Sus scrofa: one gene and its partners. The protein of the gene in region 1 interacts with the protein of each later gene in a biochemical or structural test. Links are inferred from orthologs where the notes say so. Each region holds a gene or a part of one and is shown in the gene's direction. Other genes may lie near its edges.

What was found.
Region 2: the proteins of RAF1 (region 1) and BAG1 form a complex in vitro, tested with the Homo sapiens proteins (2 studies listed by BioGRID). The link is inferred for Sus scrofa from reciprocal best matches to the Homo sapiens genes RAF1 and BAG1.
Region 3: the proteins of RAF1 (region 1) and PEBP4 form a complex in vitro, tested with the Homo sapiens proteins (2 studies listed by BioGRID). The link is inferred for Sus scrofa from reciprocal best matches to the Homo sapiens genes RAF1 and PEBP4.
Region 4: the proteins of RAF1 (region 1) and RASD2 form a complex in vitro, tested with the Homo sapiens proteins (2 studies listed by BioGRID). The link is inferred for Sus scrofa from reciprocal best matches to the Homo sapiens genes RAF1 and RASD2.
Region 5: the proteins of RAF1 (region 1) and RHEB form a complex in vitro, tested with the Homo sapiens proteins (3 studies listed by BioGRID and IntAct). The link is inferred for Sus scrofa from reciprocal best matches to the Homo sapiens genes RAF1 and RHEB.
Region 6: the proteins of RAF1 (region 1) and PEBP1 form a complex in vitro, tested with the Homo sapiens proteins (3 studies listed by BioGRID and IntAct, with this or other methods). The link is inferred for Sus scrofa from reciprocal best matches to the Homo sapiens genes RAF1 and PEBP1.
Region 7: the proteins of RAF1 (region 1) and PHB form a complex in vitro, tested with the Homo sapiens proteins (2 studies listed by BioGRID). The link is inferred for Sus scrofa from reciprocal best matches to the Homo sapiens genes RAF1 and PHB1.

The regions. Positions count from the first base shown.
Region 1 is NC_010455.5:68,609,406-68,612,905, reverse strand, and holds part of RAF1 (RAF proto-oncogene serine/threonine-protein kinase), read left to right. Parts: intron 1-1,303; 5' UTR 1,304-1,329; coding exon 1,330-1,536; intron 1,537-3,500. UniProt on the Homo sapiens protein: Serine/threonine-protein kinase that acts as a regulatory link between the membrane-associated Ras GTPases and the MAPK/ERK cascade, and this critical regulatory link functions as a switch determining cell fate decisions including proliferation, differentiation, apoptosis, survival and oncogenic transformation.
Region 2 is NC_010452.4:33,234,098-33,237,597, forward strand, and holds part of BAG1 (BAG family molecular chaperone regulator 1), read left to right. Parts: intron 1-80; coding exon 81-194; intron 195-3,043; coding exon 3,044-3,151; intron 3,152-3,500. UniProt on the Homo sapiens protein: Co-chaperone for HSP70 and HSC70 chaperone proteins. Acts as a nucleotide-exchange factor (NEF) promoting the release of ADP from the HSP70 and HSC70 proteins thereby triggering client/substrate protein release.
Region 3 is NC_010456.5:7,169,836-7,174,017, reverse strand, and holds the start of PEBP4 (phosphatidylethanolamine-binding protein 4 precursor), read left to right. Parts: upstream 1-1,382; coding exon 1,383-1,513; intron 1,514-2,719; exon of another isoform or gene 2,720-4,182. UniProt on the Homo sapiens protein: Promotes AKT phosphorylation, suggesting a possible role in the PI3K-AKT signaling pathway.
Region 4 is NW_018084968.1:2,087,533-2,091,548, forward strand, and holds the start of RASD2 (GTP-binding protein Rhes), read left to right. Parts: upstream 1-1,216; 5' UTR 1,217-4,016. UniProt on the Homo sapiens protein: GTPase signaling protein that binds to and hydrolyzes GTP. Regulates signaling pathways involving G-proteins-coupled receptor and heterotrimeric proteins such as GNB1, GNB2 and GNB3.
Region 5 is NC_010460.4:5,813,939-5,817,438, forward strand, and holds part of RHEB (GTP-binding protein Rheb), read left to right. Parts: intron 1-1,698; coding exon 1,699-1,781; intron 1,782-2,420; coding exon 2,421-2,477; intron 2,478-2,591; coding exon 2,592-2,639; intron 2,640-3,439; coding exon 3,440-3,500. UniProt on the Homo sapiens protein: Small GTPase that acts as an allosteric activator of the canonical mTORC1 complex, an evolutionarily conserved central nutrient sensor that stimulates anabolic reactions and macromolecule biosynthesis to promote cellular biomass generation and growth.
Region 6 is NC_010456.5:34,527,439-34,531,634, reverse strand, and holds the start of PEBP1 (phosphatidylethanolamine-binding protein 1), read left to right. Parts: upstream 1-1,396; 5' UTR 1,397-1,574; coding exon 1,575-1,709; intron 1,710-3,180; coding exon 3,181-3,290; intron 3,291-3,936; coding exon 3,937-4,037; intron 4,038-4,196.
Region 7 is NC_010454.4:25,596,020-25,599,693, reverse strand, and holds the end of PHB (prohibitin), read left to right. Parts: intron 1-622; coding exon 623-718; intron 719-2,071; coding exon 2,072-2,284; 3' UTR 2,285-3,174; downstream 3,175-3,674.

The DNA.
Region 1 (3,500 bases):
GACTGCAGTTTTCTTGTAGCTTGATTAAAACATGATTATTTCTTGTTAGGTGACTATCTCTGCTTGCTTCTATTTATAAGCTTTGTTTCTGCACTAAAACCAAACTGTGAATGTTATGTTGGAAGATTCATGTACTTTAAATATAAACAGAATTTGGCTCTTTTACCTATCACCTGGATGTTTTTTTTGGCAAATAGCATGGTTTTTCTGTGCCTTATTTAGGCACAGAAGTAAAATAAAGGGTGGTTGGAGAAAGGATTTAAGATCTTTTTGGGTTGTTACACAAATAAGATAATTTTTTTTTTTTTTTTTGTCTGCACCCCTGGCACATGGAAGGTCCTGGGCCAGGAATCAAACCTGTGCTGTAGCAGCAAACCAAGCTGCTTCAGTGACAATGCTGGATCCTTACTCTGCTGTGCCACAAGGGACCCCCAGATGAGATCATTTATGTATAAAGTGTCTTAATATGCATCCTAGAAATATTAGTTCCTTTTCCTTCCTCAAAGGCAGAACATTACGGCTTACGCTTTTTTTTTTTGTACTTCTCATAAGGTGTTACTAATACTCAAGGGTAGTTGCTCATACTTAATACACAGTAATCAAAGAAGAAGGGAAATGGAATTGAAAAAGTATTAGACTAGAAATTAAGAGACCTGGGCTTATGTTCCAGGTTGTCTTTTAACTTGATATATATGCTTTGGTGAGTCTTTTGATCTCTAGTCCCCATTTTGCATATTTCTGAGTTGTCTATGAAATATTTTATAGTAAAGTAAAAAGAATGTGTATGTATATGTATACTGAGTCACTTTGCTGTACAGCAGAAATGGCACAACACTGTAAATCAGCTGTACTTTAATAAAAAAGTTAAATATAGGAGTTCCTGTCATGGCAAATCAGAAACAAATCCAACTAGGAACCATGAGGTTGTGGGTTTGATCCCTGGCCTCGATCAGTGGGTTAAGGATCTGGCATTGCTGTGAGCTGTGGTGTAGGTCGCAGACATAGCTCGGATCTGGTATCGCTGTGGCTTTGGTGTAGGCTGGCGGCTACAGCTCCAATTAAACCCCTAGCTTGGGAACTTCCATATGCTGTGAGTGTTGCCCTAAAAAGACAAAAAAAAAAAAAAGTTAAATATAAAAAAGTATACTAAAGTAGAAATTTTCTGAATAATATATTTAAGCAGAAGATATTATCTATAAGAAAGCCCACATACAACTGTTTTCAAAATTACTCTATTGCATTGTTAACTACTTTTCAAAAATTATAATTGTCTTTTTTTTTTTTTTTTTTTTTTTTAAACCAGGTTTAGGTATTTTGTAAGCTGCATCAATGGAGCACATACAGGGGGCCTGGAAGACGATCAGCAATGGTTTTGGATTCAAAGACGCAGTGTTTGATGGCCCCAGCTGCATCTCCCCTACAATAGTTCAGCAGTTTGGCTATCAGCGTCGGGCATCAGATGATGGCAAACTTACGGACTCTTCTAAGACAAGCAACACTATCCGTGTTTTTTTGCCAAACAAGCAAAGAACAGTGGTACGTGAACATTCCTCTCAAAATGTAGCTATTCATTAGCCTATAGAAGACATTATGGATCATGCTGATCATCTTATAGACAGGCACAATCTGTGAATTTCTTTTAAATGGCTGTGCCTGAGACATGTGGAAAGTCCTAGGCCAGGGATTGAATCCTAGCCACAGCTCTGACCTATGCCACAACTGCAGCAAGGCCAGATCCCTTAACTCCCTGTGCCAGGCCAGGGATCAAACCTCTACCTCTGCAGTGACCCAAGTGGCTGTAGTTGGGTTCTTAACCCACTGTACCACAGCAGGAACTCCTTTTTTGTTTGTTTTTTAATATAGTTATAGTTGATTTACAATATTGGTTTAGTTTTAGGTATACAGCAGAGTGATTCAGATATATATATTTCAGATTATGTTCCATGATAGGTTGTTGCAAGACATTGAATATAATTCTCTGTGTTATACAGTAAATCCTTGTTGCTTATCTATTTTAAGAAGAGTAGTTTGTGTCTATTAATCCCATACTCCTATCCTCCTGCCTTTCCCCTTTGGTACCCATAAGTTTGTGCTTTATGTCTGTGAGTCTGTGTTTGTTTTGTATATAGACTCATTTTCATACTATTATATAATATTTGTCTTTCTTTGCTTAACTTCACTTAGAATGATATTCTCTGGGATATATATACACACACACACCCCACATCTTCTTAAGCCAGTTGTCTGTTGATGGGCACTGGGGTTGTTTCCATGTCCTGGCTATTATAAATAGTGCTGCTGTGAACATTGGGGTGCATATATTTTTGAATTAGAGTTTTCATCTTTTCTGGAAATATGGCCAGAAGTGGGATGACTGGATCATATCATAACTCTAGTTTTAGTTTTTTAAGGAACCTCCATACTGTTTTCTATAGTATATGCACCAATTTACATTCCCACAAACAGTGTAAGAGGTTCCAATTAGGGTCTTAATTAATTGGCTTTCCAGTTGCAGACTTTATTGCTTTATATTTCTTTCACATTCCTTGCTTTTTCCCACCTCTTGGCTTTCCTTCTGTTATTAGTCTTGCCTGGAATGTCTTCTTTTCTGCCATATCATCTAAACAAATAGTACATTCAAAAGATGTGTTGAAAAGCTCCCTTGGACATTTCCAGCTAATTAAAAACTTTTTTGTTCTGAATATTAAAGCACACTGTTTAAAATTTTTCATGATATTACAGTAGTATATATAGAGGAAGATAAAATTATCTAGAAAAAATTATTTTGGTAAATTTTCTAGGCCCTGGGGCAGAGCTGGCGGTAGCTTAGAAATCACAGCTCTTTTGTGGGGCACTCACTAGCCAGTTATTCCTGCATAATTTCTGGCCCTAAACCCCAACTTTTCTAAGAAATTGCTGCTCAGAAAGTTTCCTACTATCCTGGGAGGGAAAACAAAAAACAAAAACCACCAGGTTGAAACGGAAAAGTGAAGTTGTGCTAATTTTGCTTGGTGGGAGATTTGAGAAAACCTTAGTTCAAAACATCTATACCTCCTCCTTTCCCACCCTCCATTCTTTGTATAAAATCAGTGTATTGTGTTTATTCTGTGTACCTAGGCAAGGCAAGATTCCAAGGTTGGGAAGTACAGTCCAGGGTTTTCTCAGTTTTCTAACTATTGCACTCTCCTCAGTTTATTAAAACTTTCTTAAAACAAAACTTCCTTTATACTACTTTTGTGAACCTGAAGAGCCTCCTAGTCATAGTGTTGTACATTTAGGTACATTTTGAACTGAAGGCAAAACTTGAGTAAATTTGTTTTTGTTCCTTTCCTAAAAATGAAAGTTTAATGGCTGACAGAATAGATAATAATAATCCCCTTGTATTTCAACAGTAGTCTTTCATTTGCAAAGTGATTTTTACTTATATATTTTCTTATTAATTTTCTTTCAAACTTTAAGTGGGAGCCCAGGTGGAAAGTGTGCATGTGATGGGAAGCTGA
Region 2 (3,500 bases), on another chromosome or scaffold:
GCCTGGAAACCTCCCTATGCCGAGGGTGCGGCCCTAAAAAGACAAAAACAACAACAATAATAATAATTTACATATTTTAGAACAGTTCAGAAGAAGAAGTAGAACTAAAAAAGCTGAAAGATTTGGAGAGATCTGTGGAGAAGATAGCTCACCAACTGGAAGAGTTGAATAAAGAGCTTACTGGAATCCAGCAGGTAAATCTGTCTGTGGACTTTGACTTTCTTCCTTTTATGTGAACTCTCTAGAGATACAAATGTGTGGTTACAAGGATGCCTTTGTTGTCCAACTCCCTGGATTCAGATCTTGGCTCTACCGTTTCTGTTACAGTGGGCAAGTTCGCCTTTGTCTCATGTTCCTCCTCTGTAAAAAGGGAGTATTGATGGTACCTCCCTCTTAGGGTTGTTATAAGGATTAAATAACATAGTTTGAGCCTCTGACTAAGTGCTTTATAAGTGTTATTATTATTATTATTTCCAAACCCCAGCCAGCATCCATTTGTGCTCCTGGCAGAACACCTGCTGTGCTAGGTTCATGCATTGCCTGAAATAGAATAAGTAGCTTCTCTCAGTTGATTCAAAGAAGGTCCAAGTTGAGCATGATCTTGTGGTGGTGTGGTGGGGTCATCCTATTCAATTCCCCTAATATTAGAGGTGGAGTAATGAAACCAAATAAGGATTAGGAACAGGCCCAAACCACATACGTATTTTTGACCCCTTCATTTTATAACATTAATGGATATATATGTGTTTTCATTACAAAATTCATATATGCTGATTGTACCTTACTTTTAAATAGACATATGTATACTAGAATGGAAAATAATATTACCTTTAAGACCTAACTCAAAGATGACTGTTACTAAAAACTGGAATCTATTTTTCCAGTTAAAAAAAAAATTGGTGTCATGTTAGGAACCCTTTAAATTCCTTTTATTCATTTAAAAAATTGAACTTTTTCTTATGTTATTAAAAATGATCATACTTAACCCAATCATTTTGCTGTACACCTGAAACTAACACATTATTGATTAACTATACTTCAATAAAGAAAAAAAAAGTCTTAACTGGAAAAAAGTGATCACACTTTTCAAAATTTGCATATTTCATATTATGTCATATGAATGTATCATGGTTTACCTAACCACTTCTCTATTACTTACCACCCAGTATTCTTTTACCATTATGTGCAATCATCCTTAGACATAAATCTTTTTTGACCATTTCTTTATTTTTTTATTATTTTATTTTATTTTTTGTCTTTTCTAGGGCTGCACCCACAGCATATGGAGGTTCCCAGGCTAGGGGTCTAATTGGAGCTGTAGCCCCCCGCCCTACACCAGAGCTATAGCAACGCGGGATCCAAGCTGCGTCTGTGACCTATACCACAGCTCACGGCAATGCTGGATCCTTAACCCACTGAGCAAGGCCAGGGATCAAACCTTACCTCATGGTTCATAGCAGGATTTGTTAACCACTGAGCCACAATGGGAACTCCTTTTTTGATCATTTCTGAATTTTTTTTTTTTTTCCTTCTTTTTAGGGCTGCACCTGAAGCATATGGAGGTTCCCAGGCTAGGGGTCCAATCAGAGTTGTAGCCGCTGGCCTATACCACAACCACAGCAATGCAGGATCCAAGCTGTGTCTGTGACCTATACCACAGTTCATGGCAATGCTGGATCCTCAACCCACTGGGCAAAGTCAGGGATCGAACCCACAACCTCATGGTTCCTAGTCAGATTCGTTTCCCCTATACCACAATGGTAGCTCCTGACCATTTCTGATTTTTTGGAACTTCCACATGCTGTAAGCACAGCCCCCAAAAAAGTTGGAGTTCTGATTGCAGCGCAACAGAAACAAATCTGACTAGTGTCCATGAGGATGCAGGTTCGATCCTTGGCTTTGCTCAGTGGGTTAAAGATCCAGCGTTGCCATGAGCTATAGTGTGTGTCACAGATGTGGCTTGGATCCCATGTTACTGTGGCTGTGGCATAGGCCAGCAGCTGCAGCTCTTATTCGACCACTAGCCTGGGAACCTCCATATGCCGTGAGTGTGGCCCTAAAAAAAATAAAGTTCTACATGTATTTTTCTTTATCCTCACAGTAACCCTCTGGGGTGTGGGCATCATGATCTCCACTTTATTTATTTTCCAGGAAACTTTTTTTTTAATTATTATTTTTTTTCCATTATAGCTGGTTTACAGTGCTCTGTCAATTTTCTACTATACAGCAAGGTGACCCAGTCACACACATATACATTCCTTTTTCTCACATTATCATGCTCCATCATAAGTGACTAGATTTATTTCCCAGTGCTATACAGCAGAATCTCATTGCTTATGATCTCCATTTTAAAATGAGAACACTGAGGCACAGACTGGCTAAGGAACTTGCTCGAAATCACAGGCCATGCTGAGGAGTAGTCAGGATTAAAGCCCAGGCCTGTCAAACTCTAAACCCTGTGTTTTGTTTGTTTGTTTGTTTGTTTGCTTTTTAGGGCCATACCTGTGGCATATGGAAGTTCCCAGGGTAGGGTTGAATTGGAGCTGCAGCTACCAGCCTATGCCACAGCCACAGCAATGCCAGACCTGAGCCCCATCTGTGACCTATACCACACCTCACAGCAATGCCAGATCCTTAACCCACTTGGAGCCGGGGATCGAACCTGAATCTTCATGGGTACTAGTCAGGTTCTTAACCCACTGAGCCATAACGGGAACTCCATAAACCCTATGCTTTTAACATCTGCCTCTTCTGTGTGGGCCTCTTGTATATGAGTATACACTGGTGACAGGGGCTTTGCCAGAGCCAGGCATCCTGGGGCATTTGCAGCCTCAGTGTGCCACGTCAGATAGAATGGCCAGCAGCCTATTGGCAGTGTTTGGGGTGGCTCAGGGCTAGCTTCTCTGTTTTTCCCAAGAGGTGAAGTTGTGGGCCTGACGTCTGGCCCAGCCTGTTGGGGAGTGTGGACTGGGCTGTGGCTGCTTGGCTTAGCGTTTTCACCAGCCTCAGAGAACCCTTGCAGTGATGTGTCATTCTTCCACAGGGTTTTCTGGCCAAGGATTTGCAAGCAGAAGCTCTCTGCAAACTTGATAGGAGAATAAAAGCCACCATCGAGCAGTTTATGAAGATCTTGGAGGAGATTGACACACTGGTAAGTAAATATTCCACAGAGAAGTTCTAGCTTCCTTTGACTCTATCTCAGTCAGTTCCTTTCTTTCAGTATCTCACTCATTGCCTAAGTATATTGAGCACCTACTGTGTGCCGGACACTGCTAGGTCTTATTCTGTGAATAAGCAGAAAGCTAAGATGGTTCCTGATTTCTCATGTCCCACCAAAGTAGGGCTTTTGTCATTTTTATTTATGTGTGCTAGTAGCTTCTAATCCTCAAGAAGCTGGGACCCAAATGGTCCATGATCTCATGGTCAGACCAGGAATTTCAGTTCAGTGAAATTTATTGTAGGTTGAAAAGAAATCAGCATACAGGAGTTCCCGTTGTGGT
Region 3 (4,182 bases), on another chromosome or scaffold:
TGTGGGTCGGCTGCTAGGAGACACTGTCCAGTAGGAGGGACCTTGGGAATGATGGGGGTGGGGAGCCTTTGTCATACTTCAGGGAGTATGATTATTGAGAAATGTGTTTGGTCTGTTGCCCCAAAGAAGGGCTTTTGCTGCAAGTTGGGGTCCTGGAAGCAGGAATTCAACTGAAAAGCAAGCTCTGCTGAAATGTTTCTCTGAAGATCTAGCTGCATGTACTCTAGACCTACCCTCATCTTCCTTCGCCCGCACAAGGGCGACAGGATCATTTTATTTGTTTTTACAAGACGTGGTGCATCCTGAAGAGGTGTGAGACAACACCCCCCCCCTCCCCCAGCCAAGTAGTGGAGCTCAATGCAGAAACTGGTGTCTGAGGTCCCCTCCCCCTTCCCCTGTGGTGGAGGAACTGCCTTTGATCTTCCCCCTGCCTCTCTGGTTCCAATCAGAGTCCCACACCCTCCTGCCTGCAGGCCTGTTCCCTGAGGGAACGAAGGCCACCCAGGGGTCCCAGGCAAGTGTTCAACGCAGCCCTAGGCCCCCCTTCCTCCTAGTGCAGTGAGTTGTGCAAGCTTCCCCCTTCCTGAGCAGCTCTGCTGGCCTTCTTCTCCAGGGACTATTATTTTGGGAGAGTGCTGAGTTCAGCACCAGTGCAAGGTACAGCCGGGCACACCCTTCTGTCCTCAGCTGGCCCTTCAGAGCTGGCCTCAGGGCCTGGTGGCCCTCCCCTCCTCCTCCCCTGTGCAGCAGCCCCTCCTCCGCAGGGTCACCGTGTCCAACCGTGACCACCATCCGACAGCCCCGAGGCTCTCAAGACAGGTGGCAGAGGAGCTGTGGGTGGGAGAAGCAGAGCTGGTGCAAAGGGCGCACCCCAGCCTCATGCCTGCTCCTAGAAAACCCTGCAAGGTGGGGCCGTCATGAGCACCCCCAGAACCCGAAGCCTGGGGTCACCAGCCTCCCAGAGTTTGCTTTAAAGTCAAAGGAGGAGGCTCAACTGATTGCACAGGGGTAACTCGGGAGGGGCAGGGTGAGGGGGGGCTGTGTAAGAGGCTTATATAAGCCCTCCTGTGCTGCAGCCTGCTCTGCGCCCAGGCGGGCGGCAGGCAGAGTGACAGCACAGCTCTGCTCCGTGGAGGAGGGGCCTCAGCCAGGACTGAAAATTGAGTCCAGCTGGGAAGAGGCCCAGGTCCGCCCAAGGTTCTTGTGTCCGGGTACGGATTAGCTGCTGGAGCCCAGCCTGGCCGGAACTTCTCCCTTGCACTTCTCCCTACTGAGCAGAGGGTTCTGATCAGGTGGGCCCCTGGGGCAGGGGCTCTGGGGTGGGCAGAGCACCCCCTGCGGCGGGCCTGGTGGCACTGAAGTTCCTTCCGTTCCAGGTGCCCATGGGCTGGACCATGAGGCTGGCTACGGCAGCCCTGTTCCTGGGCCTCACGATGGCGGTCCCCGGAGATGAAGAGGACAGTGACCCATGTGTGTACGAGGCCTTGTCTGACAGCGACGCTGTGCTCTGCAAGTAAGACTGGGTGGCCCCCCACTCCCAAGAGCCGCGCTAGAGGCTCGAAGAGGGGGTGCTTCCAGAACCAAGGGGGCACTGCCTCCCAAGGCAGCCTCTGTGGAAGGCAGAACATAAGGCAGCTCTGGGGCCATTCTGACGGAACATGACAGCAAGGAAAGGACTCAGACCCTTTCAGGCCCCTGCTGTCCAAGGGCGGTTCTCGGGGCTAGGAGGGTATGCAGATCTGGTCCGCTCCCCCGGGCCTCCAAACCCGAGGGGCCCTGTGGGGCTGTGGCCTCACCCTCTGTGTTGGCACCCGAAAGAGACCATCATTTCCTCCAGCATGGAACGCCTCCTGTCCCCCAGCAAGGTGGCATTTTAAAGGAAAGTGGCATTTATTTGACCGAGGGTGTGTGATTGGACCCTCCCTATGTTTCCTGTTCCCTAACAAGGCTCTAGGGGCGTCGGGACAGGTGGGCCTGTTAGGGAGCGTGGCCAATGGACATTGTTCAGGGAAGTCTGGGTCTCGAGGCCTGGCTTTGTCTCTTCCAAGGGCGCAAGCTTCTCTCCCTTTTCATCAGTTCGGCTCTCTCCTGCCTGCGGGTCAGAAAAGCCAGTCTTCATCGTCCTGGACACATGGTCATCCTCAGGGCTGCCCCAGCCATGCTGCTGGCAACCTCCTCTACCAGCTTGGTGACCGAGTATGCTGGCATCCCTCTGAGGCCATCAGAAGTGAGGCTGGGAGCAAGGACTCTCACTTCCTACTCTGTCTCTCTGAGTGCATTTGAATTCTTACAAACACTACTTTTAGAAAGAGAAATATGTTTTCCCTTAAAATTTTAGGCGGGAGTTCCCGTTGTGGCTTGGTGGTTAACCAACCCGACTAGGAACCATGAAATTTCAGGTTTGATCCCTGGCCTCGCTCAGTGGGTTAAGGATCTGGCATTGCTTGAGCTGTGGTGTAGGTTGCAGACACAGGTTGGATCCCATGTTGCTGTTGCTGTGATGTCGGCCAGCTGTTACAGCTCCGATTGGACCCCTAGCCTGGGAACCTCCATAGCTGCGGGTGTGGCCCTAAAAAGACAAAAGAAAAAAGAAAAAAAAAAGTTAGGCAGTTGGATCCAAAAAGAAAAAAAACACAAATTTTGCTCCTATCGATTACATTTTTTGGCCACGCCTATGACATGTGGAAGTCCCCAGGCCAGGGATAGAACCCATGCCACAGCAGTGACCTGGGCTGCTACAGTGACAACTCTGGATCCTTAACCCACTGAGCCACCAGGGAACTCCTATCTGTACACTTTTTAAATCTGGTGAAACAGTCCTGGGTAAAGTTTTGTGTGGGGGAGGGAGGGAATGACTGCCCCTCACATGTGAGCGGGTGCTGTGCTTCCCGGGAGTGGACAGGTCCTTGAGCTAGGACAGTGGGGCCAGGGCAAGGCCAGGCCAGGCCGTGATTAGGGCCCCATCATGGAGTGCCTCTTGTGCTCCCCATGTTCACTGTGGAACACAGAGAACACGGTCACATGTGTATGGTCACTGGAGGGACCAGCCAGCATCCCAGCTGCCCTAGGCTCAGCCCTGCCAACATCCACATGCCGGCACTATGGTGGCCTGGGTGCTGTGGCACATGGGGAAGCTCTGCGGCACCTGGTACCTGCCAGGAGTTCTGTTGGTGATTTAGACTCCTTGAACTATTTCATTGTTGTCAGGAACCCACCAAGTAGGTGTTAATCCTTGTTTTGCAGCTGAGGAATCCCCAGAGATTAAATAACCTGCCCATAGTGTTCACACACCTAACAAGTCCAAGATCAAGGCGCTGGCAGATTCTGTGCCTGGCGAGAACTTACTTTCTGATTCATGGTTGGTGGTCTCCTTGCTGTGTCCTCACGTGGTCGAAGAGGCGAGAGTTCTCTGGGACCTCATTTAAAAGGGCACTAATGCCATTCAAGAGGGCTCCACCCTCAGGACCTCAGCACCAGCAGCCCCACTTCCTCAGTCCATCATTTTGGGGGCTTGGATTTCAACATACGAATTATCCGTATATCTAAGGGCTCCTTAGAAAACAACAGCAGCTCTTTTGTGTGGTGCCTCGAAGGCGGTCGGCCACTTCAGGATGAAGCTGAACGTCTCTTTCCCTGCCACTGGCTGCAAGAAACTCATTGACGTAGACGATGAACCCAAACTTCTTACCTTTTATGAGAAAGGTATGGCCACAGAAGTTGCTGCTGACGTTCTAGGTGAAGAACGGAGGGTTATGTGGTCTGGATCAGTGGTGGGAACAACAAACAAGGTTTCCCCATGAAGCAGGGTGTTTTGACCCATGGCCACATCCTCCTGCTGCTGAGTAAGGGCATTCCCGTTACCACAGAGGACTGGAGAAAGAAAGCGCACATCTGTTCAGGGTTGCATGCCAATCCGAGTATTCTCAATTTTGTCCTCATAAGGAAAGGGGAGAAGGATGTTCCTGGACTCACCGACTCTCACCGACCCTCGTCGCCTGGGACCGAGAAGGTCTAGCAGAATCCACAGACTTTGCAGTCTAAGGAAGATGATGTCCATCAGTATGCAGTGAGAAAGCCCCTGAACAAAGAAGGTAAGAAACCTAGGACCAAACACCCAAGATTCAGTGCCTGGTTACTCCACATGTCTGCAACACACACGTTGGCATATTGCTCTGAAGAAAC
Region 4 (4,016 bases), on another chromosome or scaffold:
GCCCGGGCACGCGGAGCGCGGGACTGCGGCGTCCTAGTGGCCGCGGGCGGGGCGGGCAGGGGCGGGGCCAGACCTTGGGACCCGCTGCCATTGGCTGAGCTCGGAGCCGGGGGCGGGGCGCCGGGCGAAGGCGGGTGAGCGGGCTCCAGCAGGCAGAGGCAGGCACAGGCGGCGGGACAGGCTGCTCGCGGGTTGCGGAGCGGGCGAGGGGGAGCCATGCGACCGGTGCACGGAGAACCGTTCGCAGGGGCGGCGGAGGGCGCCCAGGCCTAAGCTGAGCTTCTGCCACGGGACTGCTATAAGGAGCCTGGGCTCCGATCACTTTTAGGAGGGACCATTGACCTCGCCTGGCGGGAGGAAGGGGGGTGTCTGCCTCTGGGAGAGAGAAGGAGGGAGGAGCCAGAGGCCCCGAGAAAGTTCTCCTCCTCTGGGGGCCAAAGGGGTGAAGTGGGTGGAGGAACCGATTTAAGGCTAACTCGAAGCTGCGGAACCTTGGGGCGGCGTTCAAGGCCCCCTCCCACACGCGCGCGGAGCCGAACACCCTGCTCCTCCTTCAGCCGCTGGCGTCACCTCGCAGGGAGAAAGGAGCCGTCTCTGGGCGTCCGGGGACCTGCAAAGCTGAGGGCAGAGGAAGCGGCGCGGCGGAGCCGGGCAGGCACCCCCCAACCCGAGCAATCCCCTTCGGGGCGGGCGAAGCAGGTGGCATACGGGGCCAGGATAGGTTCGCTCACCCGGGATACGCACATACGCACGCACCCACAGTCACCTCCAAAGGACCCTCCCGGAGTCTCTAAGGACCCGGAGTCGCCCCTTCTGCCCTCTCCCCCCAACGCCAGAGCCCCAGGCGGGGCCCCCGGAATCGGACGTCCCCACGCCTCCGGGCACCTGGCTCAACAGGAGTCCCCCGGGTCCGGGCAGGGCAGGGCCGGCGGCGGCGAGCCGGAGCCCGCCCTGAGCCCGGGCCCCACTGAGCCCTCGGAACCCACCCATGGGACACCAGCTCCCCGTGTCCCCTCGCCCGGCCGCGCCCAGCCCTGCGCCCTGAGCCGCGCAGAGGAGGAGTCCGGCGCAGTGACCCGGGAGCCGCCGCAGACTCTGGAAGGCTCGGCGGCTGGAGAGCCAGGCGGTTCCCCGCACCTCCAGGCGCTTCCAGGCATCCCTCCCAGCCGCGCCAGAGGCCTGGCCCGCCATTCCCAGGTAGGAGAGAGACCCTCCATCAGAACTGGGAGCCTGGGGAAGCCGGGAAGCCAGGAAGAAAGGTTTGAAGCTTGGGTAGGGGAGGCCAGGTGAGGCTTTAGAGGACCAGCGAAAGTTAAAACTGTATGGGCACCTACTATGGTCCAGGGTAATCCCGCAACTTCACCTATTTAGAGAAAATGCAATTAGTGGAGTACCTACCATGTGTCAGGCTGGGTGCTTATCCCAGCAAAGAAAGACTTACTGAATTTCTTCCGTGTGCCAGGTTTGGTGCTAGAAGCTTTCCATTTAAGAGATCTGGAGCAACAGCCTGTTTGAAAATAAGGAAATTGAGGCTCAGAGAGGAACAGGCATTTCCGTCCTTTCCCCAAATATTCCCTCTCCCCTTCCCAAGCCAGCTTCAGCCTGCAAACCTGAACAAGGGTGGGGTGGGGCTGGGAGGGGGCCAGTTTGTGCCCCCTCCCCCACAGCCCAGCCTTGGCAAAGACCTCCTTTGAGAAGGGACGCTTAAGGAGTGCTTTTCCTGTCCAGAGTTCCTCGAGCTTTGGGCAAGGGTGGGGATGGGTGTTGGTGCAAGGGGTGGGTTTCCTGGGTGATCCCCTTCCCAGGAAGGCTTTCTTGTGCTCAGCTGGCCAGAGGGCCCCCAAGCACCTCTGTGGGGCTCTCTTCTCCTCTTGCCCCCGGCCCTGGCAGGATGGATGTTGCTCAGGACCTCAGGGAAGAGGGGAGGCCAGGCTGGGGTCGGGCAGCCAGCTCCGGAGCCCATGATTCAGGCTTCCCCCAGCTTCACAGAGACAAGATGGTGTCCCCCCGGATCTCTGCCTGCCCTCCAGCCCCTCCCCACCCGACAGCCCCCTGATTGCCAAGAGGAAGTGCCACAAAGAAAGGAACCTGCTTCCTGTGTGCCAGGAGCCCTGGGGGCCTCTTGACTTTTCACTGAGTTTCCAGGGCCATGCGGGGGGTTTGCTTCTAGCATTTGCTAGATGACCAGACCCAGTCATTTGCCCAGGGTTGCTGGGCGGGTGAGAGGTGGAGCGGGTCCGCTGGAAGCTGGTCCTGTCCGCTTTGACTCTGAGCTGTCAAGGGTGGTGAGATTGGCTTTTCCAAGCCCCCAGGACTCCCCTTGGTGTGGGCACGGAGGCCAGTGAATGCATATGTGTCCAGAGAGGCTGGGATGTGGGCTCTTGGAGGAGGCCCCAGGGTGTGGGGGAGGGAAGGGGGAGGGGGTCCCCACAAAGGTGGGATGCATCCAGACTCTCATCCTGCCGTCCTTGCCCCTCTGACTCCTCCATCTTCCAGATAGGCCCGCAGGTGCATTTGCTGGGAGCTGGACGGGCCAGCTTTGGGGGCGTCCTGAGCAGGGTGCCTGCCCCCAGCCGTCTGCAGCCAGAGAGAGGGGGGTGGGAATTAGAATAGGCCTCTGGGGTCATTCCCCTGCCTGACGCCAGCTGAGGCTTCACTGAGTCAGACACTGTTGTGAAAAAGACTGATTTGGGCCAGGGGGTGGGTTTTTCTAGGTAAGAGCCCAGACTGTGGAGCCAATGGCCTGATTCTAATCCTGGCTTGGCCAGTCATCTGTGTGGACTGGGGCAAGTGACTCAGCCTCTCCGACCTCCAGTGTCCCCGTCGGTCCAGTGGGTCGATGGCGGTCCCCTCTTCCTGGGACTCTTGTGAAGTCTTTGGAATAAAACACACAGAGCGCCCAGCATGATGGAAGCCTGCCTGGCTGTGGCAACTGTTCCCCCAGCGCGGCCCACCCCATCTCTGCTCCAGGCTCTTCTGCCCCCCCTCCCCACGTGCCTTCAGAATGACCCTGGGGCGAGGTCAGCTGAGCGTCACAGAACTTGCATCCGCGGACCTGTGCTGCTAGTGGTCCCCATGACCCACTCTCTGGGCCTCCCGGGCAGGGGACTCTACACTCTTGAAAAGCCCTTTGAGCTCTCACCCCTGCCTGTTCCTCATTGTGCAGGGTCAGCTTGGCTGTGGATGGAGAGAGGGGAGCAGGCAGTGAAGGAGGAGAGAAGCTGGGCCCACAGTGCTGCCCACAGTGCCTCCTCTGGGAGAGAAGACGGGAAGAAAGATGCCCTCCACCCCCCCCCCCCAGGGGGGCAGGCGGCAGAGCTCATGGAGGTGTTGTCACCTGATGTCCAGGTGTCTGGGTGCTTCACACAGCCCCACATGGCTGGGGCCCTGTGAAGAGTCACAGTCTTCTCTCAGAGAGGAAAGCCACAGATTTATCCCCCCCTTCCTTGCCCTTTTCTGGCCCTGTCCCTTTTCTCCCTGCCTCCTCTCTCTGACCCCCTGCCTCCTCCCTTTGACCCCCTGCCTCCTCTCTCTGACCCCCTGCCTCCTCCCTCTGACCCCCTGCCTCCTCCCTCTGACCCTCTGCCTCCTCTCTCTGACCCCCTGCCTCCTCCCTCTGACCCCCTGCTTCCTCTCTCTACTTCCTCAGGTCCATGGAGTTGCTGATGTTAGCACGTCTGTACCAGGAGCTCTGGGCTAGAGGCTGGAGCAGGTGGTGATGGAGATGCATGGTCCCTGGGGGCCGCTGGCCTCCTTCCCTCTTTCTGTAGATGGAGGTGACCACCAGCAGAGTCATGCTCCCCGCAGAGGGACTTGGGGAGGGGACTGTCCTGGCGTGGGGCCTCTTTCCCGCTGCCTCCATTGAAGGTCCAGTCTGGTTGCCCAGACCGGGAGGAGACTAAAAAAAATTCAGTGCTGTTGGCTCATAGCCCCCTATCTCCACTGCCCACCCAGCACAACCCCTGGGTCAGCTAGAAAGCCCCAGAAGAAAGTTTTGAAAGAGCTCCAAAAGGTAG
Region 5 (3,500 bases), on another chromosome or scaffold:
CAATTGCTGTTTTTTTCTCAGAAAGCATACTTTTTATCAGGATTATATTATATGTGTGTATTGATTTAGGATTAATTAATGGATACCCCCTATGACTCTGCGTATTCTTGCTGGAAACTGCGTGCAGGACACTCGTCCGCTGATTTAAGTCTTTTCTTTCTTGGGCGTATTTTAAGATTATCTTCAGATGGATCATCTACTTTTATTTTCTTAGGTTTATTCCTAGGAGTTTTGTTCTTTTGGTTGTTGTTACAGTTGAGGGTCTTTTTCCTCCATTTTACTTTCTAACTAGTTGTATTTTACACTGTGCCTCTTTTTTGTTTTGTTTTGTTTTGTTTTGTTTAGGGCTGCACCTGCAGCATATGGAAGTTCCCAGGCCGGGGGTCCAATCAGAGCTGGAGCTGCCAGCCTACGCCATGGCAACGCCAGATTCGAGCCGCATCTGCAGCCTACACCACAACTCACGGCAACACCGGATCCTTAACCCACTGAGTGAGGCCAGGGATCGAACCCGTAACCTCATGGTTCCTAGTCGGATTTGTTAACCACTGAGCCACGACTGGAACTCCTGGAATTTTGTTATTTAATCTGGGTGAAAATATGTCATTCTGTTAAGGCTTTGTTTTTCATCATCAACACTTAAATGAATTCAGCTTAATGAAAGTTGTACTAGTACTGAAACCAAAAGTTTTAGTTTGCATGTGTAGTAAGATCTGTGATGTTGAAATGCTGTCATCTCGTTAATAATGTATAATAGCAAAGCTGATAGTAAAAGCTTTTCTTTGATTTTTTTTTTTTTTTTTTTTTTTTTTGTAAGATACTTAGGGCAGCGATTCCGAGTCAGCATAACCATACTGGAATTGCAGAGTTAACAGGGACGGTTACATGATGGTGGTGGCTTTGCCGTAATTTTTCTCTAATAGCACTTGGGATGTGTGGTATGTTAACAGTTATGTTTCAGCTGAGGGTGAAATGTGTGTACCACACAGGGGCACTCTTGAATACTGAGTTGACATTAGAAATTTCTATATGCTGTAATAATTCTGTATCTAAAGCAGCGGGGTTTTTCATAAAGCTGTATAAAACTGGTACTCATATGCTGTTGCATCATAGATACCTTTCTTTTTAATCCCTAAAGTTGCTCAATAAATAGTTGGTTTGATCCTAAGAAGCCTGAGTCTACTGCCTGAGTCTAGTGTCTTGTTTCTCTTCTCTCCTCCTCTTCAAATGCTCGTGGCAACCCAACAGTGACTGGGGCTAGGCCCTCATGGCTCAGTGCAGGAAATACAGATTGATGGACCAAACCCGGAGCACTCGTGCATCTCCTGTGAGGGCTAAGAGACACTGGACTGTCGCCTGTAAGAGATGTGATGGTGCTTTTCCCTTGGTCCAAGACCACGGAGCCTGTGGTCTTGTCATCCCTCCGTCCCTCCAGGAGCTACTACGGACAGTAGCCTTCCCTCCGGAGTCTGAGACTAGCCAGAGTCACTCTCTGTACTGGCTTAAAGCCTGCGATTGCCCCCACACCAGTCTTTAATCAATCTTGGGTGTATGGGCTGTGTTTCTAAAGAAGGTATTAATCTACTTTTTGTTTGCTTTGAGTTCTCTGATGAGGTGACATGTGAGAAACTTGGGGCAAAGGGTACTGGTTATGCTCTGTGAACACTCTGCTCACATGTGATCGTGTTTCTTCCGCAGGATGAATATTCCATCTTCCCTCAGACATACTCCATAGATATTAACGGTTATATCCTCGTGTATTCTGTTACATCAATCAAAAGGTAAGACTCCCTTCTCCTGCTTGCCTGAGTGTGCTTGCTGGGCATAGATAGCATCAGCCCTCCAAGGGATGACGCTGTCCTTGCTGGTACCTACGGCTGGACTTGCATGATTTCGAGGGGTTGTCTTGTGGAGCAAGCAGGTCGTTACGGGGAAAAACGATCCCAGAAGGTGTTCTCACACTGACGGCAGGAAACCTCTGCCTCTTGCCTCAGGCTGCCTAGATAGGTAATGATTGAACACCATCTGAGCTTGGCTGCTCATTGAAATGGAAAACGCACTAATTGATTTACTCTGGGTCTGTTTTCACCATGTCAGTGTGGAGCACAGACCGCGTGTGCGTAGAGCCTTCGCGTTTAGGAACGGTCCACAAATGCTTATTCAGAGATTCAGTCAGCCTAGACTTTCCTATTTGAATATCGCCCCTGCTCCACTTGGAGTAGTGTCAGTAAGGGTACTGAGTGTCGAATACACACACGAGGGAAAGAGTGGTGAGAGACCGTAAAGGAATTGCTTGTGTTCGGTTTATAGGAAAACAGTGAGTCTGACAGCTTCAGTTTTTCCCACTATACACATGACATAACAAACGCTTTAAAGCATCACTAAAATGAATGTCTAATTTCATGCTTTTTGTTTTATAGTTTTGAAGTGATTAAAGTCATCCATGGCAAATTGTTGGACATGGTGGGGAAAGTGCAGTAAGTAATAATGGTTTCGCTCTTTTGATAGATGTACTCAGAACAGTATCTCGGGAACAATCAAATCAGGCACTGATCTGTGTCCTTTGGCTTTTTTTCCCCTTGTATTAATAGAATACCTATTATGTTGGTCGGGAATAAGAAAGACCTACATATGGAAAGGTATGTAGCTTCTAAATAATTACTGATTTATAAAGTCAGGTCTAAGATGACTTAGTCACTGAAGTTCCATTTTTAATTATTGTTCTTAAAGCAAGAATATTTTTAGTGGTAGCATATCTGTGTTTGGGGGTTCAGAAATGGGGCGGTGTTTGTGCGGAGCAGAAGCAGAACTTCAGTGAAGATCTCACGCACCTTGGAAAGGGTTTCCTCTAAAAAAGAGCAAGCACGATAGGACAGTTGTCTTTGGATTCTTATTCTTGTACCATTTTGCATAACGCAGATTCTAAAAAGACAATGGTAGCACTCATTTTATTCAACAGATAGTTTCGGAGAGTGCCAGGCTTAGGGCTCAGAGCGATGGACCAGGAGCCAGGGGCCCCATTCCCTGGAGCCGAGCATCTCGGGAGGAAGAGAGCCGCTGGCCGAGTGCCCACAGCCCGTGCACAGCAGGGCTCAGCTGTGGCCCTTTCAGAGATGCCCGTCTCTGGGTGCTCACAGCCTCGCTGACCATGAAAGAGTCAATTGTGACGGGTACCAGAGTGCCCGGGTCCTGTTCCCCGAACTTCCAGAGCTCTTGCTGGAGCGCAGGGAACCCCGTGGGGCGGCGTCTGCTCTGTTCCCCAGCTCAGGGGTAACGGAACCGCTCCTCTGCCCTACGTCCTGCAGGATAGCCTTGAGCAGAGCTTGCTTCTGCTTCCTAAGAAACTGGCGAAAGTGGAGCCTGTGTCCCAAGTCAAGTCACAGGTGTTTGATGTAATAAAGAGCCGAGTCCTTGAAGTGAGATGTTCTCCTTCCTTTAGGGTGATCAGTTATGAAGAAGGGAAAGCATTAGCAGAATCTTGGAATGCAGCTTTTTTGGAA
Region 6 (4,196 bases), on another chromosome or scaffold:
CAACTTTTTATTACCTGGTCAGAATTATTAAACTCAAAGGCTGTCCTAAGGTCAAATTAGATAAGGACTGGATTTAAATAGTGCCAGTCATATATAATAAAAAGAAATTGGTGGCCACAGGGAGAGCAGTTTTGAGGCAGAGTCACTTGTCAACAAAGTAGGCCTAGTAACTATGGTTTGTCAACTAAAAACAAAAAACTGCACAACATAACAACTGTAAGTTGAGTTTTATTTCGTGTCTTACTAAGGACTACTGAAGACAGAGGCTCCCTTTCAGATAGCTCTGAGGAACTGCTTGAAAGAGGTAGGGGGCCAGGATATGTACTTTTATTTTTGCGTGCGCGGGGTGGTGGTGGGGGTCTTTTTGCCATTTCTTGGGCCGTTTCCGCGGCATATGGAGGTTCCCAGGCTAGGGGTTGAATTGGAGCTGTAGCCGCCGGAGGCCTACGCCAGAGCCACAGCAACTCGGGATCCGAGCCGCGTCTGCAACCTACATCATAGCTCAAGGCAACACTGGATCCTTAACCCACTGAGCAAGGCCAGGGATTGAACCTGCAACCTCATGGTTCCTAGTCGGATTCATTAACCACTAGCCACGATGGGAACTCCTGCACATTTTTTGACTAAGGGGTACATTCAATCAAGCATCCATCTTGGTAGAAGGTTGCTACTAGTCACTGGGAGCAGATATTTCAGTTCACGAGCTTAGTGCTTTTCTAAGTATGGGAAGAGGAAAGAATCTGGATTCATAAAAAAAATTCTCCTGGAGTATATCTGAGTGTTTTGCCTTTTTCTTCCAAACCGGAGTGCCTCATTCTCTTCTTGTTTTGAATTCCATTCACGGTGTATTGTAGAATGGGGACTGCAGTGGCTAACTTCATCCTTATTGAACTGGATAGACAGGTTAAAATTTTTTCCCTCAAATAACAAATAACAACTAAAAAAGAAAAAACCACCCCATCATTTCCCAGGAATCTTGTCTGGATCCAGTGGGTGTAGGGGGATCAAATATATGTGCAAATATATTTGTTGGGGAAAAAATGCTCAAAAGTTACCTTAGGTCCTCTCCCAGTTTTCGGAAACCAGTGAGCATGCGCGAAATACAGCGCGGCTGTGCAATGACACTTGTTTTAAGAAATGCAAAAGAAAAGCAAGGCCTTACCATTTCTGCGTTTAGAAAAGTGGAGCAAAAAACCATGCAAAAAGGTTTTTAAAAAAATTAAAGATAGCTCAAATGTACATCTTGAAAAAAGAGTTCTGCAAGCTCTGGCACAGTGTTTGGGAACACCGCGGGTGGCAGGTTGCAAGCGCCTTCTTGCAAAAAGAAAGGCCAATCCTGCTGCATTGACCTGGCGCGCCGGACGATCCGGGCTCGACCAATCAGAGGGCACAATGAGGCCCACCCTTGCCAGCGACTGGAGGAGCGGGGCGGGGCGCTGCTCAAGCGCATGCGCTCCAGGGCCTCTTGACCAGCGTTGCCTCCGTCCAATTTGGAAAGCGCTTTGAGCCCAGTGCAGCTTCGCTGCGTGTTACTTCTGCTGCTCTTCCTGCACTGCGCCCCGCTCGACCCTGCGATGCCAGTGGACCTCGGCAAGTGGTCCGGGCCCTTGAGCCTGCAGGAAGTGGACGAGCGGCCACAGCACCCGCTGCAGGTCAAATACGGCGGGGCTGAGGTCGACGAGCTGGGCAAAGTGCTGACACCTACCCAGGTACCCGAGTCGGAGGGGGTACAGCTGTCTGAGGCCGGCAGGCCCTCAGGCCGGCAGAGCGGGGACCCAGCGGGTGTGAGGAGGAAGTTCCAGCTTCCGTGCGGCGGATCCACCGAGGAAAGGGGGTCGCGGTTCCCGTGCCGCAGGTTTGCGGACCTTCCGGGCCCCGGGAATCCGGCACGTGGAGGGCGGGGCACGGCCTGCAGGGGAAATGGATCTATTTTCCTGGAGATTTCGAGGAGCTGGCAGTGGCGTAGGTCTGGAGACAACCTAGATCGCTGGGGTAGGGGCGGGGAGAGAGCAGTCGCCGGCGGGAGAGGTCAGTGGCTGCCCACAAGCCCCCAGAGCCTCCCCTAGGGCCAGGGGGTTTTAGGCCTTAATTTCGGGAGTAAGAGCTCCACCCGAGGGCATATGACGCATTATGTAACCAGTATTCGGCAGTTCTCGGCGATCGTCCTTTGTTTTAGCGATCTGTGGCCTGAAGCCACCCAAAGTAAGTACGTTCCGCAGCTGGAAGGCTCGAGGGTAACCGCCTTGCTTTATTTACCGTTTGGCCTTTGACGCCCAAGGCTGAAGCGCAGCCTGATTCTGGCTGCTTCTGGAGTGGAGAATCCTGACATTGTGGCAAGCTGTTGGTCTAGAAGCTCCGAGGCAACGGTGTGAATAAACTGCTCGGGTGGTTTATTGGTTTAAATGTTTAGAATTTGTTGTTTAAATATAAAGTGTCCATCTCACAGCCTCTCTTTCCCGGACTCACTGTTCACGTCTGCCCGTCTCGGCTTTCTCATTTTCTCTGCATTTTTAAACATCCAGTTAATTCAGATTTCACTTTAGCAGGCCCTAGGAAATGTGTCAGCAATCTAAAGATCCTGTTATTTCAGGTTGTACTTGAGAGAACTCAGTATCAGGGTTTAAATCCTGACCCATCTCTTTCTGTTAATAACATGCTAGGATATTAGCCCCATAGTGTTGTCGAGACTAAAATAAATAACGTATATTAAACTTCAGCTCCTTAGTAGCGTCAGTACACTTGAGTTTTTATTAACAATTTATTCTGCTTGACCTTTGAGGAATATGAGGTCAAAAAAAGAGTATTGATTTCTTCAGCATTTCTGACTTTTAAATTTCAAATCGGGAGTTCCCGTCGTGGCGCAGTGGTTAACGAATCCGACTAGGAACCATGAGGTTGTGGGTTCGGTCCCTGCCCTTGCTCAGTGGGTTAATGATCCGGCGTTGCCATGAGCTGTGGTGTAGGTTGCAGACTCGGCTCGGATCCTGCGTTGCTGTGGCTCTGGCGTAGGCCGGTGGCTACAGCTCCGATTCAACCCCTAGCCTGGGAAGCTCCATATGCCGCGGGAGCGGCCCAAGAAATAGCAACAACAACAACAACAAAAGACAAAAAGACATAAAAAATATATATATATATATAAATACATAAATAAATAAATTTCAAATCCATTCCTTCCTACAGGTTAAGAGCAGGCCCACCAGCATTACATGGGATGGACTGAATCCAGATAAACTCTACACCTTGGTCTTGACAGACCCGGATGCTCCCAGCAGGAAGGACCCCAAATACAGGCAAGTTGGGAAAAGATGGGGAACATCAGGTCATCCACATGTGACATGGGGCTTCTTGCACCAAGTCCCTTGCTGGACATGCTGTGGTGGGAGAAATAGACTTGGTTTTGGGTGTGCATATCCATGCCTCAGCCTGAGTGTACATTTCTGTTTCTCTCCCTTTTACTCCATAGAGTGAGAGTTTAGAAACTATGGCTGAGAGCCAGATCTGCCTCAGACCTGTTTTTGTACAGCCCCACAAGCTAAGATTGACTTTAATGTTTTTAAAGGAATGGGGGAAAAATTGAAGAACAGTAATACTCTATGAATTTAAGTGAAGTTCAGATTTCAGTGTCCCTAGATTAAAGTTACAGCCGTGGTAACTTATTTATGTCCTGTCTATAGCTGCTTTCATGCTATCACTGCAAAGTTGAATAGTTGTGCTAGAGATGGTGTCTTATACAAAGCCTACAACATTTGCTGTTAGGCCCTTTATAGAAGTTTGCTGACCTCTGCCTGAGAATTGAGGGAAGGATGGAGGGCGTAGCTGGGTCCCCTTTGCTGGCACAGGAAGTTCGCGCTGGCCAAGAAGGCAGGGCCGACTGTCTTGTCTGTCACTGGGTGCTAACTTCCCGTGGTGCTGATGGTCTTCTATTCCTCCACATAGGGAATGGCACCATTTCCTGGTGGTCAACATGAAGGGCAACGACATCAGCAGTGGCACAGTCCTCTCCGATTATGTGGGCTCTGGGCCTCCCAAGGGCACAGGTCAGTAAAGGCTGCTTTTCGAGGGAGAGGGGAGGGGAGCCTGGGTGCACGTCAGGACTGGCCTGAAGTGCTGCTAAGTTTTAGCTTGGTTCTTAGAGTTTTATTCTTATATTTATGAAAGCCCTTAGCCTAGCGGAGATTTTAGGCAACTCGATTCCC
Region 7 (3,674 bases), on another chromosome or scaffold:
ACCTTCACCCTAAGCGATATCTTTCCCTGCCTTCTCTTACTCTTCTGCCTTGACCAGAAGCACTCAGGCACAGGCAGTACCGTGGTTTGCACAGTCCCGGTTTGGAAACCTCACCCGTCCTCCTCCTGTTGCGTGGTGGAGGCGCTGTGAGGAACACGTGGACTGGTTAATCCATAAGCACCAAGCATCATGCTCTTGAATCCCTGAGAACCAGCTGCATCCCTCCCTCTCAGGGGCTCACTTTTCCATCTGGCTTCTCTGGGGGCTTCCAGCAGGCCATCAAAGGACCCTGGAAGAGCACTAGTCAGCGGTGGGGGTGCTGGAACCCCCCATGTCTCCTCCCCTAGGGAGGTGGTCAGTTGAGTGATACCTTCTGGCGCCCGTGGGCTGTTTCCCACCCGAGGGGGCAGCATGATGCACAGGGGCACTTTGGGCAGCCGCGGATTCTGGAAGTGCACTCAGGTAGGGCACGGATGTGGAGGTGGAAGGGTGTTCTGGCCTCATGATGCCTCCAGCTGCTAGAGCCATTCCTGGCCTCTTCCTCCAGCGGCCATGGGGGCCTTGCAGCAGCGCTGTCTAAGCAATTACACTGCCTGGTCTCGCGCTCACTCTCTCCCCTTAGACGCATCTGACCTTCGGCAAGGAGTTCACAGAAGCGGTGGAAGCCAAACAGGTGGCTCAGCAGGAAGCAGAGAGGGCCAGATTTGTGGTGGAAAAGGTGAGCGCTCAACCAGATGGCAGGAGCCCCTCTCCCCCTTCCTCCTGTGCTCCGCCTCCCGGTTTGCTGGGTGGCCTGGAAATTCATCATCTGTCATCTCTTCTTCCGGGACATCGGAAGGGGATTGAAGGGACTCTGCTCCTGCAATTGGTTCCAGAGTCTTTGGGGTCCAGTCAGGGATACGTGGGGTTATGTTCCTAAATCACTGAAGGGTAATTTTTTTTCCACTTCCCTAAGATCAAAAACACTCTCCCACAAATAAAGATGTTCCTTCTGGAACATTTTCAGCTTCACTGAGAAGTCGTTTTTAACCATGGTTACACAGTGAAAGCTGACAGCAGAAAGGATCAAACGTTGCGCCAGATGTACCATCATCACTGGATTTTTTTTTTTTTTTTTTTTTCCCTCAAGCACTAAATCCGTCCAGATGTGTCAGAATGGGCTGGGACACAGCATGTTTGCATGGAGCCTGGTCTTTTGGTCTTTGCAAAGATGTATTTGCTTCTTGTACCCCCTTCGCCCCCCGACTAGTCGTCTTGGGTTTATAGTCCTCATCCAAGGGGGTCCTCAGAATCAGAGAATAGAGGGGTTTATGGGTAGACGTTTAACTCCAGAGCATATCACTCCGTGTGGGTGGCGACTTCTTGCTCTCCTTCCTCTCTCCAGCACCTAGAACCTGTCCACAACCGTGCCTGGGCCTAGATGCTAAGGATCACTTGTTGAGTGAACAGTCCCAGAGCCTCCGTTTAACAGCTGTGTGTCCAAACAGCTGTGTGTCCATTGCCGAGAGGCTTGGCACTGTGCTCTCCTCCCGTCCTTCTGAAGGTCGTGCTGTGCAGGTCGATGCCATCCTGTCCCAAAGGGTAGGGAAAGCCCAGGAGAGCTCGTCCTGGTCAGGAAGCAGTTTAGCTCCTGTCTAGGGAGCGTCCCCTGTCTGTGGTCCTTCCGAGCCACGCTGGTCTTGACCGAAGTCGCTTTGACTTGGAGCTGGAGGGAAAGACGAGGGTCGGTTCCTCCTTCTTTCTCTCCTGGTTTCCTTGGCCTGGGATCCTCAGAGCAGGGGGGCTGCATTGCGTTGTTATTCGTGTTCTGGAGGACTGTGAAACAAGACAGCGGTTTCTGCAGCCACCAGAAACATGTCCCTGCAGGGCTGAGCAGTGGGCATGATGGGCGAGCGGAGGATTGGGCGGCCAGTGCTTGCCGACCCCGCCTGCAGGGGGCGGCCCATTCCCAGAGTGCCTTTCAGGGCCCAGTGAGGGCGCCTGACCGGGTGCTTTTGAGGCCGTAGCCTGCCGTCCGGCACCCCGACCTTGCTGTGACCTTGGTCTCCCTCTGCCTCTCCGCCCGCCGTAGGCTGAGCAGCAGAAGAAGGCAGCCATCATCTCCGCCGAGGGCGACTCCAAGGCGGCGGAGCTGATCGCCAACTCGCTGGCCACTGCGGGCGACGGCCTCATCGAGCTGCGCAAGCTGGAGGCCGCGGAGGACATCGCGTACCAGCTGTCACGCTCCCGGAACATCACCTACCTGCCGGCCGGCCAGTCGGTGCTCCTCCAGCTGCCGCAGTGAGGCCCGCCCCTCCCGGGGCCACTGGACCCCAGCCCCGGTGATCTCAGCCGCTCCTTCCTTCTCCCACCCCAGAAATCACTGTGAAACTTCATGATTGGCTTAAAGTGAAGGAAATAAAAGTAAAATCACTTCGGATTTCTAATTACTCTATCAGACGAAGCTCTTTCATTCCTCTCATTTCCATCCCCTCTTTTTATCCACCTCCCCACCAAAAATTGCCAAGTGCCTATGCACACCCACTTGGCTCCCGTCTCGGGGGCCTGCTGGCGCTCCCACCTAGGCACTGGCAATGGGCAGAAGAGAGGCAGGGCTGTGAGTGGGACGAGCCGGGCAGGACGCTGGTGGCCTCCAACCGATCAGTCATTCAAGACCTGAGGCCCATGCAGCTGAACTGCGAACACAGGCCTCGGTTTTTTTCCAGTGGTCCCTGCACAGAGAGGTGCTGGGGAGGGTCCGAGAGGAAGCGATCTGTCTCTCAGCATAAGGCTGATTCTCTTTAACTGGGGCCAGCGGAAGCAGGTGTGTACAACCGACGTGGACTGAAAACTCTGCCCCTGTGAAGGTGGGTGGGCCTGATGTGCTGCCCCTCAGGGTCCTAAAACTGGAGTGGACTCGGCTAGTGAAAGAGCGGCCCTGGACCGAGATGTGAGTCCTGCAGACTTCCTGTCCACCCCCCACCTTGGTGTCAAGTACCGGCGGAATTCCAGCTTGAAGGATTGCATCCTGCCGAGGCTGCACAGGCCTGCCAAAGACGTGTGCGTCCTGCGTTCCTGGCTCCCTCGTTCAGAGACTGCCCTTACAGAGGGCTCTGCGCCTGTGCCTTGAAACAACCACCAGAAGAAAACAAGTGTGTGTAAACTGCTATCAATAAATGACATCCAGACCTCCCAGCTCAGTCGTAATGGGTTTGGTGTTTTCACTTTGTTTTCTGGGTTTTTTTTTTTCTGGTGGCAGGCGGGGGCGGGGGGGGGTGGTGGTTGCTTGTTGGAATTCATGGGTTGAGGACAGAGCATTCTAGTGGTTTTTGTGTGCTGGTGTTTGTATCACCGGCGAGGATAGACTCTCCGGCAAGGCAGAAAATGCTTTGGTTTCAGAAGACACTGCTGTGTTCCAGGTCCAGCTGCAGCCGGAAATAATCGGTGGTGTCAGGTGAGGTTGGTGGCAATGTGGTTTCCTAGGGAGGTGAGGGTGGATGGAGGTTCATTTACCCGTGGCTTTTGGTGCCCCTACAAACTGAGCGTTGTAGGCCCACCACCAAACGAGAGATGGACATAAAACACCCGTGTGCTAATAAGCCCTCCATGCGCTCTGGATAGACTTTGCTTTTTTTGGCCACCCCGAGGCATATGGAGTTTCCGGGCAGGGATTAAATCTGAGCTACAGTTGCAGC